3 linked regions of the Macaca mulatta genome follow. Each later gene encodes a partner of the first gene's protein in a complex. Links are inferred from orthologs where the notes say so. Each region holds a gene or a part of one and is shown in the gene's direction. Other genes may lie near its edges.

Region 1 (3,750 bases):
CTGAGAATAAATATTTCTCTGAAGAGAATAAACTTGTTTGCCAAGTTTTAGTCCATAGGGATTGGTGGCTTCAAACTAGAAATTAGTATATGATCATTGCTTTTACTCAATTTGTTCTTTAAGTATGTAGAAGTTTTGTGTGAGAGCAGATATATCAGTTAAAAAGCAATGTGCTTAGAGGCAGAATTAGCAATGCTTTGGTTATCTCCCTGTTGAGTTTGGTTACAATTATTTTAATACATCTAAAGTTCAACTTAACTGTAACAGCAATTTAAACTGCTATCTCTGTGTTGTTGGGGTTTTTTCTTCCTATTTCATTGCCTTACCTGAACTCATATCGCCATTCAGCACAAACTTAACTCAAAGTGTATGGTAATGCCAGCTCCATATCAATGACTCAGTTTCCAGACTTTTGCAATTAATAACTCAATGTAACATACAGCAAGAGTGGAGAAGGTAGTGCCTTCATGGGTAAACATCACAGTTACTAATTTCTAATCCTACAGAAGTGGTCAATTGCTCATCTCCTTTTTAGTACTAATCTCGTGATTCAAACCAACTTTCTAGGAAAGGAAATTCTTCCTTCTGTCCTCACAATGGCTTTGTTTTCAAGTTAGACATACTTTTTTTCTGATGCCTTCTTTACTTTCTTATTTCCTCCTAAGAAAGACTATAACAGTATTTTTTAATCACTTTGGTCATGGACACCTTTGAGTCACAAACCTCATAAAAATGTGTATTATAGACAAAACTGCATGAACTTTCAGGGAGTACATGGACCTCCCTGAAGTTCATCCATGTAGTCAAAAGGGATCTGTGAAAGGGATCTGTGAACTCTGGGTTAAGAGCTCCTGGCCTGGTGCATGGTCAGCCTTCACAGGTAGGGTGGTTAGGTTACTCCCTCATCAGAGAAACTAGAAATACCAAGGAAGGGGCTTACTCAAAGCAGTGTAAATAAATAGAGGCCTCAGTGTTCCTCTTCCATGGCCATGTGTAGTTTCCTTACCCATTCACTGTATCTGTTAATTTCTGAAGTGGTTGAATCAGAGCTACTGAGGCTTTGGGACCCTCTTTATTTGTACATTTACCCATCTCCTCACTCTCAGCAAGGCAAGAGAGGTCTGATGTGAATTCAAATTGTGACAGTGAATTCTCTAACTCCAAATTTGGTTGAGTTTGAAAATTCTGCACTAGGGATTACTTCTGCAACTAGCTAATGCTAAGCACTGTTATTACAGGAAGGCAGCTCAGAGAATGTCATCTAAAGTTCAGCAGCAGGAATACAACTCTAATGACCCTCCACGTTGGTTTGGCTATGATAGGGAAGGAGACCCTCTTACAGAGCTTGACAATGTAACACCATCTAAAGGAGCCTCAGAATTAACAGTGGAAAAGTCAACATACAGCAGTGAAGAGCAAGCAGCGTGACCTTCAGCCTCAAGCAGGAAAAACAACAAATCAAGAACTTGACAAGTTTTCTCCATTTGTTGCAAGTATGTTCACTAGCTGAATCTCAATAACAATGTAAACAAGCAACAAACCATCTTCTGATTCTTATTCCAACTACAAATATTTCCAAATACATCAGTAGTTCTTCTGTCTAAATAATCATGATTTAAAAAAGAAGCCAGGCCGGGAGCAGTGGCTCATGCCTGTAATCCTAGCACTTTGGGAGGCCGAGGCAGGTGGATCATAAGGTCAGGAGTTCGAGACCAGCCTGGCCAACATGGTAAAACTCCATCTCCACTAAAACTACAAAAATTAGCTGGCTGTGGTGGTGAGCGCCTGTAATCCCAGCTACTCGGGTGGCTGAGGCAGAGGACTCGCTTGAACCTGAGAGGCGGAAGTTGCAGTGAGCCTAGATCACGCCACTACACTCCAGCCTGGGCGAAAGAGCAAGACTCTGTCTCAAAAACAAAACAAAAAACAAACAAAAAAAAGAAGCCAAATCAAGTACTGACTACATAAAATTTCTGCCTAAATTTAATCAAACCAATAGTTTTTTGATGAGATATAAAATGTAAAGTTATATGAAACAACCCTGAGAGATGAGATTTTTTTTTTATAAGAAATTAAGAAATTTTTCTCTAGAAAGGAAAAAGAAAGCAGAGATGGCCATATGTCAAACTAAGAGTTTGAGCCAGGGCCATAACTTTAAGGATCTGTGGTGCTTTATAAAGTTTTATAAAGAATACAGACATATATTAATATTTTCAAAGGAAATGTGGCTTTCCTGTGGTTTCCAGACATTTAACAACAAAAGAGAACTAAATGCCACCAATTAACTCTGGACTTATCTCAATATTTGACTTAGTCAGGGGCAAATTAAATAGAAACTAGAACTATCTGAATAGAAAGAATGTCCCTGCAATGTCTCAGAAAGATATTTCTTTAATCAAATTTGCACAATGGAGGAATTCTTAAACTATGCTATGCCAAAAAAGATGCTCCCTCAATTTTATGCTAGGAAGTATGGGTTATTAATTGCATATCTACATATTAGTTTTTAATCAGCTTTAATCTGTGGGTTTTAGTATATGTGCTGCTGAAGCCAGCACATCTGTGGGTTTTTACCATTATTTGATATTATGTAACACTGATGTTGACACAGTCCAAGAGAAAGCACAACTCTGTTCTGACTGCTGCAAACAAGCTATGTCAGCAATATCAGATCAGCCTTTTAACCTATTTCCTCAATTACTTATCTCTCACGTGGAGTTCTCTTTTTGTATTCCACAAGTTTCAAACAAGGATTAAAAACTTAAAGCATCGTTACTTTGAAAAGTTTTAAAAAGATTGTACAAAGTATTATTATAGGTTACCCTGTATTAGCTAAATGCTTTTAGTAATTCTCCCCCACTGAGGTTGATTTGCAAAGTTTTTGAAATAAGGTAATATTACTTAGCTGTGGAAAGGTTCTTAGGAGTGGGCACACAGGCAACAGAATCATTTCAATGGGAAGTTTTAGAACCATAGCCAAGAGACATAAGATGACATAAGAGTACGGTTTTAACCTAAATTTGGAAATTTCTGGCAGCTGCATTAAAGATGTTTTCAAAAATCTGATTCCTAAGTGCCCATGCACACAACTGGAGGAACTTATAAAAGAGGCAATTGCTTTCTAAAGGAATGACACCTGCCCTGGGAAGACCCCGGTAAGAAACACACCCTGTTACGTATTCTCCAGAAACCTAGCAGGTTGCTTTACATTCAGAGCTTGCTCCAAAGCTCTTTGAGTAACATCCTCTCTTAAACAAGAACAGAAGACACATTCATTCATTCCAGGGAGACAAATTTTACAGCTACATAAATGAAAAAAAGGAGTAGAAAAAGTGAGCTATGAAAGGAACCAAGAAGTAAGGTATACAGGTAGAGAAATCTTTTAAGTTCTCAGTGCAAAGTACTCAAAATATCAAAGATATTAGTTAGGTCTTTAGCCCTTAAACATTTCATATTCATAGGTCTGTGTCCAAGAGAGTAAAATATTTCAGCTTTTTCTTTTTGTCTGGGGCTTAACAATGTGATCCAAATATGTACAATTCCATTAATAGTTTAAATATAGTTGACTGCTATTATGCTTATGACTTTTCTGGCTGTGATTGGCTAATTTATTTTTAGTCATGAAAATGTTTATGTAATTGCATGAAGGTGAAAAAAGATTATAAAAATTGCCTCACTGCCACACAGTTTCCTCTACTTAATAGTATAACACACCCCAACCATACCAAATATACCAATGTGTAAGTATCT
Region 2 (3,750 bases), on another chromosome or scaffold:
AGATGGCAAGCCTCAGGATAGCACAGAGCTGCAGGGAGAGTGAAGGCTGCCTGACAAGGGAGGGCCACCCGTCATACTCTCTCCCCCACATTAATTATTCCAGCCACTCCTGGCTCCAGCAGGACACTAAGAAGTATCCCCAAAGGGAGTCACCCCCAATATTGCCCAGTAAATAATTTAAAAGCAAAAATGTGGGAAACTCAGGAGAAGGTCAAACAAGTCCACTAGAGGGAGCCCCAACCAACTCTATGCTGCAGGGAGCCTCACAAAGCAATGTCTCAACACCTGTCTGAAAATCAACCACACAAGGGAATGGGGAAATGTAGCAATAGATTAAGTAACTAGGAGAGAAGATAGCCATGTAAACACCTAGCTAAAACACAGGCTTTTCAAGAGCTACAAAATCAAACATTTAAAGATCAGGAAACTGATGCTGAGCAAAGTCAAATGGCTTGCCTCAGTTTACATATCCACAGTTGGGACTCAAACTCAAATGTCTTGTCTCTAACCTGAGCACTTTCCTGCACACTTGCATCCCTCTAGGTCAGTACCCTAGAGTCCATGGGTCTGCTGTTCCTTTGTGTCTCATTTCTCTGAAGTGGGAAACGCCCTCGACTACCTATTCCTGTACTTATTACCCTCATTCCACAGTGTACTGAAGAGGATCTTCAGTGGTTTGGGGTTTTTGTTTGTTTGTTTGTTTGTTTGTTTGAGACAGGGTCTCCCTCTGTCATCCAGGCTGGAGTGCAGTGGTGCAATCATAGCTCACTGCTGCCTCAACCTCCCAGGCTCAAGTGGTTCTCCTGCTTCAGCCTCCCGAGTAGCTGAGACTAACAGGTGTGCACCACCCTGCCAGGCTAATTTTTTAATTTTTTGTAGAAATGAGGTCTCACTGTGTTGTCCAGGCTGGTCTTGAACTCCTGGCCTCAAGTAATCCTCCTGCCTCAGCTTCTGAAAATGTTGGGATTATAGGCATGAGCCACCGCCCCCAGCTTAGATCTTCAGTTTTAAACCTACTAATGTCATTTTGCTGATGGGACCTCGGGATGTCAATTGTCCAACATGGCTACTGTCAGTCCTTTTCCTCTGTATCAGCACAACATATTATCTCAGATGTGTACATCTGAATTTGGAAGTCTCCAAATTGCAGGCCATGTCTACGTGGCAATGAATCATAACCAATCGGCCTCCAAAGCCCTTTCTTTTCAAACTATACTTAGGGTTTTGGGATAAGGAAAGAACTGACCCTTTGAGACCTTGATATTTTAAGCTTTGTGAGCTGATTTAGCCCATTCCACCTTCCTACGAACTCCATGTTTCCCAGTTGCCTGGACAACATACAGCCTCCCGAAACCCAACCTTCCAGCCCTCAGTCCTGCCCTCAAGAGAAATTTGTCACCAAGGATTGGCTCCCAGGACCCAGGCCCCGCCTCAGGCTCCTCGCTAGTTGGGCCTTCTCTCTGCCACTCCCCACGGGTGGGTCACTCCACAGGGAGCCCCAACACTGGCAGGAGAGGATCCTACAGGTAGGAAGAGGGGGTTGAGGATGATGGGAAGAGGGAGGGGAGCAGGTACAGGGATTTATCTAAAAGAGAGTTGTGAGGAGTGACTTCCGTACAGTCAGCCTGGTTGAGAGAAAAAACTTCACCCTCCCCGTTGACCCCAACCCTGCCTGAGGTTCCAAAGAGACTGTGAACTGACTTTTCTGAAGAGTATGAGATACAAATTTGGAGTAGAACCAGGAGACTCCCCTGAGACTCCTGATTCAGTCAGGAAAGCATCCCTGTGTCCAGACCTAAACATAAGGTCCCCTCCTTCTCCCAGGACAGCAAGGAGATGCCACTTAAAAACAAAGAAAAAGGGAAGAAATCTGGGGCGCAGAAGAAAAAGAACTGGGGTGAGTCATGGTGGGTGGAGGTGCCCCCTGCTTCTCCATGTTCTGGCATGAAGACCACGCAGAGCTCCTCCAGAGAGAATTCAGCCTTCTACATGACAGGATGGAACTCTCTTGACCTTCCTCTTTCGTGTCCTTGAAGTCAGATGCAGGGAGCTGAGGAAGTGGGGAAATGGTCACTCACGCTCTCCTTTAAGCACCATCTAGCTTTGTGCCTTCCTAATATATTTGTCATGTGTATTTTGCATATCTGTTATGTGCTGGTTGGTAAGGACACAGTGCTGACTTCAGTAGACTCTGCCACCATGGATCCCTCATTTAGTGGTCCTCAGGTCTCCTGTGGCAAAAGTGCAGGGTGTGGGGTGAGGACGCAAGGAGAGTGAGGAATGCTGAGATCACGAAGAGCTGAGGCTCTGCCACTTGCCACAGCAGGTGCAGATGTGGAGGCTGAGTCCAGGCACAGGCTGGTGGTGCTGGAGAAGGAGCTGCTCCGAGATCACTTGGGTAAGGAGGGTAGAAGTTGGCATGGGGGTGGGCAACAGGGCAAGTGAAATGGGGCATTTCTGTATCCTGGGGGATTGGAGAGTTGGAGATACAGTGGGGGGCTAAGTTGAACCCTAACCATCCCCTAGTGGAAAAAGACAATGAGAGAGGGGTGGGCAGTGAGAGTTGATAAAGGAAGCTTTTTTTTTTTTTTTAGACAGAATCTTGCTCTATTGCCCAGGCTGGACTGCAGTGGTGTGATCATAGCTCACTGTAATCTCAAACTCCTGGACCCCAACAATCTTCCCACCTCAGCTTCACGAGTAGCTGGTGCACACCACCCTACCTAGCTACTTTATTTATTTATTTATTTTTCTTTTTTAAAATTTATTTTATTTTATTATTTCATTTTATTTTATTTTACTATCTTTTTTTTTTAAGACAGAGTCCTGTGCTCTGTTGCCCAGGCTGGAGTGCAGTGGCGTGATCTTGGCTCACTGCAACCTCTGCCTCCCAGGCTCAAGTGATTCCCCTGCCTCGGCCTCCCAAGTAGCTGGGATTACAGGCACACAGCCACCACGCCCGGCTAATTTTTGTATTCTTATTAGAGACAGGTTTTCACCATGTTGGCCAAGCTGGTCTCGAACTCTTGACCTCATGATCCTCCCACCTTGGCCTCCCAAAGTGCTGGGATTACAGGCATGAGCCACTGCGCCTGGCCCTATTTATTTTTCTTATAGAGACAAGGTCTCACTCTGTTGCCCAGGCAGGTCTCAAACTCCTGGCCTCAAGCAATTCTCCCACCTAAGCCTCCCAAAATATTGGGATTACAGGCATGAGCCACCATGCCGGGCTATCCGGAAAGCTATTTTGTATAGGCAGAACATGGAGAGAGTCTTTACTTCTTAATAATGAGGAGCCTGTGAGACTCTAGGGATAAAAAACAAAAACAACAAAACCCAGAGAGAGAATAAGAGGCTGGACGCCCCGCCACCAGATTTCTAGAGACGGGCAAAATTCATCAAGTTCATGGGGGCTGATTTAGCGGGCCCCAGCCAGTCCTGACAGTGGCTCTGGGACTGCTCACAGCTCTACGGAGGGATGAAGCCCGTCGAGCCAAGGCTTCCGAAGACCAGCTGAAGCAGAGGCTGCAAAGGGTGGAGGCTGAGCTGGAAGGGGCCCGAAGTGAAGGGAAGGCCATATATGCAGGTGTGTGGTCTGTTGAGCAGGTGGGCAGGAGACAGGGGCCTGGAGGAAGACAACCAGCAGGGTCAGATGATGCAAGGAAGGGAAACAAGGAGGGCTTCCAACTGCCAGGCCTGGTCTTGGTCTTCCCCGAACAGTACAAATCAGGCAGGATCCTGCAGGAATCA
Region 3 (3,750 bases), on another chromosome or scaffold:
CACTGATCTCTTTTCATGGGTTTGTATGGTACCTTTGCTCTCACTTATCTCTTGTGCAACAGCTGATTCCCACTGACTTTCTCATGGTATCCTACTCCCAGGCATAGACATGCGTATGCACACATACTTGTTTCTGTCCTTATGGATAGTGGAAACAAGAACCAGAACCAGGGTGAGTTTTTGGTCAGAGCTGTACCATGGCTCCTAGGAGAGTTTAATGCTTTAGGTTTCAACCAAAGGAGACAGAGATCTGGCAGAAGACCCTGAAGCCTAGAAACAACTACCCCCACTCCTCCTACCACCACCACCTAGGCAGGTGTGAGGCAAGGATCCAGGCAGCTGCTGTTAGACTCTATAGCTGTTGGATGGTTTTGGCATTCCTAAACCTTACTACTGCTTGCAAACTTGGAAGAACTGATTTTAAAAACCCACTCCATTTGCCTCTGGGCAGTTCTTACTCACAAAGGGTGGATCTTCTTGGCCCCACAATTGTCTGTGGGTTGCACCATTTAACAGCTGAGAAAATGGCCCTCAAGAAGTTGTGACTTGCCCAAGGTGGCAGGGCAGGGCTAGGACTAGTACCCACCCTTTCTCACTGCTCATCCAGTGCCCTTAATTCCCCAAGGGCTAATGGGACAGAACCCTGTTAAATGGTATCCAGTATTTGGTTGGTTGGTTGGTTGGGTTTGTTTGAGACAGAGTCTTGCTCTTGCCCAGGATGGAGTGCAGTGGCTCGATCTCGGCTCACTGCAACATCCACCTCCCAGATTCAAGTGATTCTCCTGCCTCAGCCTCCCGAGTAGCTGGGATTACAGGTGCCCACCACCAAACCCAGCTAAGTTTTGTATTTTTACAAACATTTGTATTTGTATTTGGTGACTATGAGTTGGAGGAATATTTGATGAATTAATGGAAGATGAATTAATCATCAAGGTCAGTAAGTGATGAACCACAGCTTGGTCCAGCTCTTTAGTCCTCTAGTCTCCTGGTGAGACTCCACAGCTCCGCTAATACGACCGGGCCTTCGTGGGGCTGACAACAGCCCTGACAAGCCACCGGCTGGAGAGGCGTCAGCCCGAGGCTGGGATGCTCCGCCCGAATGGCGGCTGGCGGCGGGCTGGGCCCAGGGAGCTGCGCGCGCAACCACTCGGGCGGTGGCACCGGTGACCGCTCTCCCTGGCAACGGTTTGTTGCTAGCAACCAGCCTGCGGTCTGGAGGTGGTGCGGAGGGAGCCGCCTAGGTGCCGGGGACTCCTGCCATGAATCCGCCGGGGTCCCTAGCGGGCCTGGACCCGAACCTGGACGAGCACTTGTCCACCCAGATTCTCGCGCCCTCGGTCCACTCCGACAACCCTCAGGAGCGCATCCAGGCCCGGCGCCTCCGCATCGCGGCGCGCCTAGAAGCCCGGAGGCGGTGAGCGCTGGGCGGGCGGGGCGGGATCGCGCAGCAGGGGCCGGAGCAGGGCTGGTTTCCTGATGAAATAGAAACATTTCTTCCGGAAGGTTCATGCAGAGTATGGGAAAGTAAAACGCTGGGCCGGTGCCGCGACGCGCGCCTGTCATCCCAGCATTCAGGGAGGCCGAGGCGGGAGGATCACTTGAGCCCAGGAGTTCGAGATGATCAGTCTGGGCAGCATAGAGAGACCGCATCTCTATAAAACACCAAAATATTAATCGGGCCTGGTGGCCCGCGACTGTGGTCTGCACATGGCATCTTTTCCACTACGTACACCCCCAAACCGTAGGGTCTGCTGGATCATGTGGCCCAAGTAGCCTGGCTGCTTACACTGTGGCCTGGGTCCTTTCCTGTTCCAGGCACCACTCAAAGCTGGCAGCTTTTTGTGTCAGCCTGAATAGTATTCCTAATGCGGGATGTACTAGGACCCAAAGTGGTCTAAGAGGCATTGAGTTTCCTTCTCTGTAGAGGATGCAAAACGCAGTAGATTTGTTTTTTACTTGATAGGCTATCCCAGTGTGCCACTGACCACTGGACCCCTACAAACTTGAATGACATGCAGTCCCTGGGCCTTCATAGGGTTGATTGCCAACGTCTGGAGCACACATGTCTTACCAAGCCCTGCAGTGTGTTTCCATCACTCGCTCATCCTGGCTGATTGCTGCAGGGCCATCAGTGGAATGCAGGGGCTGGCAAACCCTTTCAGTAAAGGGCCAGATAGTAAATATTTTAGGCTTTTGGGATCATATGGCGTCTTTCCTAGCTGCTCAACTGCCATTGTAGTGCAAAAGCAGCCACAGGCAAGACATAAACAAATGGGCATGACTGTGTTCCAATAAAGCTTTATTTATGGACACTGAAATTTGAATTTCATATACTGTTCATGTATCACAAAATAGCCTTCTTTTGATTAAAAATAATAATAAACTTTATTTTTTAGAGCAGTTTTTAGGATCACAGCAAAATTGGTCAAAAGTACAGCATTCCCATATACTCCCTGCCACCACACGTGCACAGCCACTGTCAACATCCTGCACTGGAAGGCACATTTGTAACAATATATGAACCTTGGCGCATCGTTATCACTTGAACTCCATCGTTTACCTTAGGGTTTCTTTTTGGTGTTGTATAGCCTATGGGTTTGAATAAATTTATAGTGACATGAGCCCACCAATATGGTATTACACCAAATATTTTCACTGCCCTAAAAATCCCCTGTGCTCTACTTATTCATCCTAGTCTTTTTTAACCATTCATTTATATATTTTTTAACCATTTAAAATTGTAAAAAATTGTAGCTTGTGCCTGTAATCCCAGCACTTTGGGAGGCCAAGGCAGGAGGATCACCTAAGGTCAGGAGTTCAAGGCCAGCCTGGCCAACATGGTGAAACCCCGTCTGTACTAAAAATACAAAAATTAGTTGGGTGTGGTGGCAGGCACCTGTAATCTCAGTTACTTGGGAGCCTGAGGCAGGAGAATTGCTCGAACCTGGGAGGTGGAGGTTGCAGTGAACTGAGATAGTGCCACTGCACTCCAGCCTGGGTGACAAGTGCAAAACTCCGTCTCAAAAAAAAAAAAAAAAAAAAAAAAAAAAAATGGGCCGGGCGCAGTGGCTCATACCTGTAATCCCAACACTTCGGGAGGCTGAGGCGGGCGGGATCATGAGGTCAGGAGTTTGAGACCAGCCTGACCAACATGGCGAAACCCTGTCGCTATTAAAAATACAAAAATTAGCCAGGGATGGTGGCGTACACCTGTAATCCCAGCTACTCAGGAGACTGAGGCAGGAGAATCGCTTGAACCCAAGAGGCAGAGGTTGCAGTGAGCTGAGATCGTGCCATTGTACTCCAGCCTGGGCAACAGAGCGAGACTCTATCTCAAAAAAAAAAAAAAATTGTCAGAATCATTATTTGCCTGGAAGCCATAAAAAAGCACGTGGTGGACTGGATCTGGCCCACAGGCCATAGTTTGCCAGTGCTGAAGTAATGGATCATTGTGATGTTCTCTGGGATATCCAGATGTCCCTGATGTATTCAGAATATATTATGACAGAGATCAGGAGAATTACCATGGTCCTGTGAGTGTGACAGACTTGTGAGTGTATATCATTGTCTGTTCCATGTAAATGTGAACTTCCTGATTCTTTTTCCTGATGTAGAAAAGCATGCATTTGACCCAATCAGTAGCCACACATACTGTGCCTGAGGCTGTACAAATTTGCTCTAGCGAAGCTTACCACACTTGCGTAGATGCTGTGTTCAGGAGTGCTACCTGTGCAGCTTCCGGTAATTGAC

Evidence for each region. Proteins that work in one complex are often made in the same cells at the same time.
Region 2: FBXL13 (region 1) and DRC12 share a complex: the UniProt entries of both Homo sapiens proteins name them as parts of the nexin-dynein regulatory complex. The link is inferred for Macaca mulatta from reciprocal best matches to the Homo sapiens genes FBXL13 and DRC12.
Region 3: FBXL13 (region 1) and DRC1 share a complex: the UniProt entries of both Homo sapiens proteins name them as parts of the nexin-dynein regulatory complex. The link is inferred for Macaca mulatta from reciprocal best matches to the Homo sapiens genes FBXL13 and DRC1.

The regions. Positions count from the first base shown.
Region 1 is NC_133408.1:142,505,463-142,509,212, reverse strand, and holds the end of FBXL13 (F-box and leucine-rich repeat protein 13), read left to right. Parts: intron 1-1,238; coding exon 1,239-1,428; 3' UTR 1,429-3,582; downstream 3,583-3,750. UniProt on the Homo sapiens protein: Substrate-recognition component of the SCF (SKP1-CUL1-F-box protein)-type E3 ubiquitin ligase complex.
Region 2 is NC_133419.1:119,883,578-119,887,327, reverse strand, and holds the start of DRC12 (dynein regulatory complex protein 12), read left to right. Parts: upstream 1-1,268; 5' UTR 1,269-1,313; coding exon 1,314-1,526; intron 1,527-1,824; coding exon 1,825-1,897; intron 1,898-2,323; coding exon 2,324-2,398; intron 2,399-3,466; coding exon 3,467-3,586; intron 3,587-3,750. UniProt on the Homo sapiens protein: Component of the nexin-dynein regulatory complex (N-DRC), a key regulator of ciliary/flagellar motility which maintains the alignment and integrity of the distal axoneme and regulates microtubule sliding in motile axonemes.
Region 3 is NC_133418.1:98,606,300-98,610,049, reverse strand, and holds the start of DRC1 (dynein regulatory complex protein 1), read left to right. Parts: upstream 1-1,189; 5' UTR 1,190-1,259; coding exon 1,260-1,414; intron 1,415-3,750. UniProt on the Homo sapiens protein: Component of the nexin-dynein regulatory complex (N-DRC) a key regulator of ciliary/flagellar motility which maintains the alignment and integrity of the distal axoneme and regulates microtubule sliding in motile axonemes.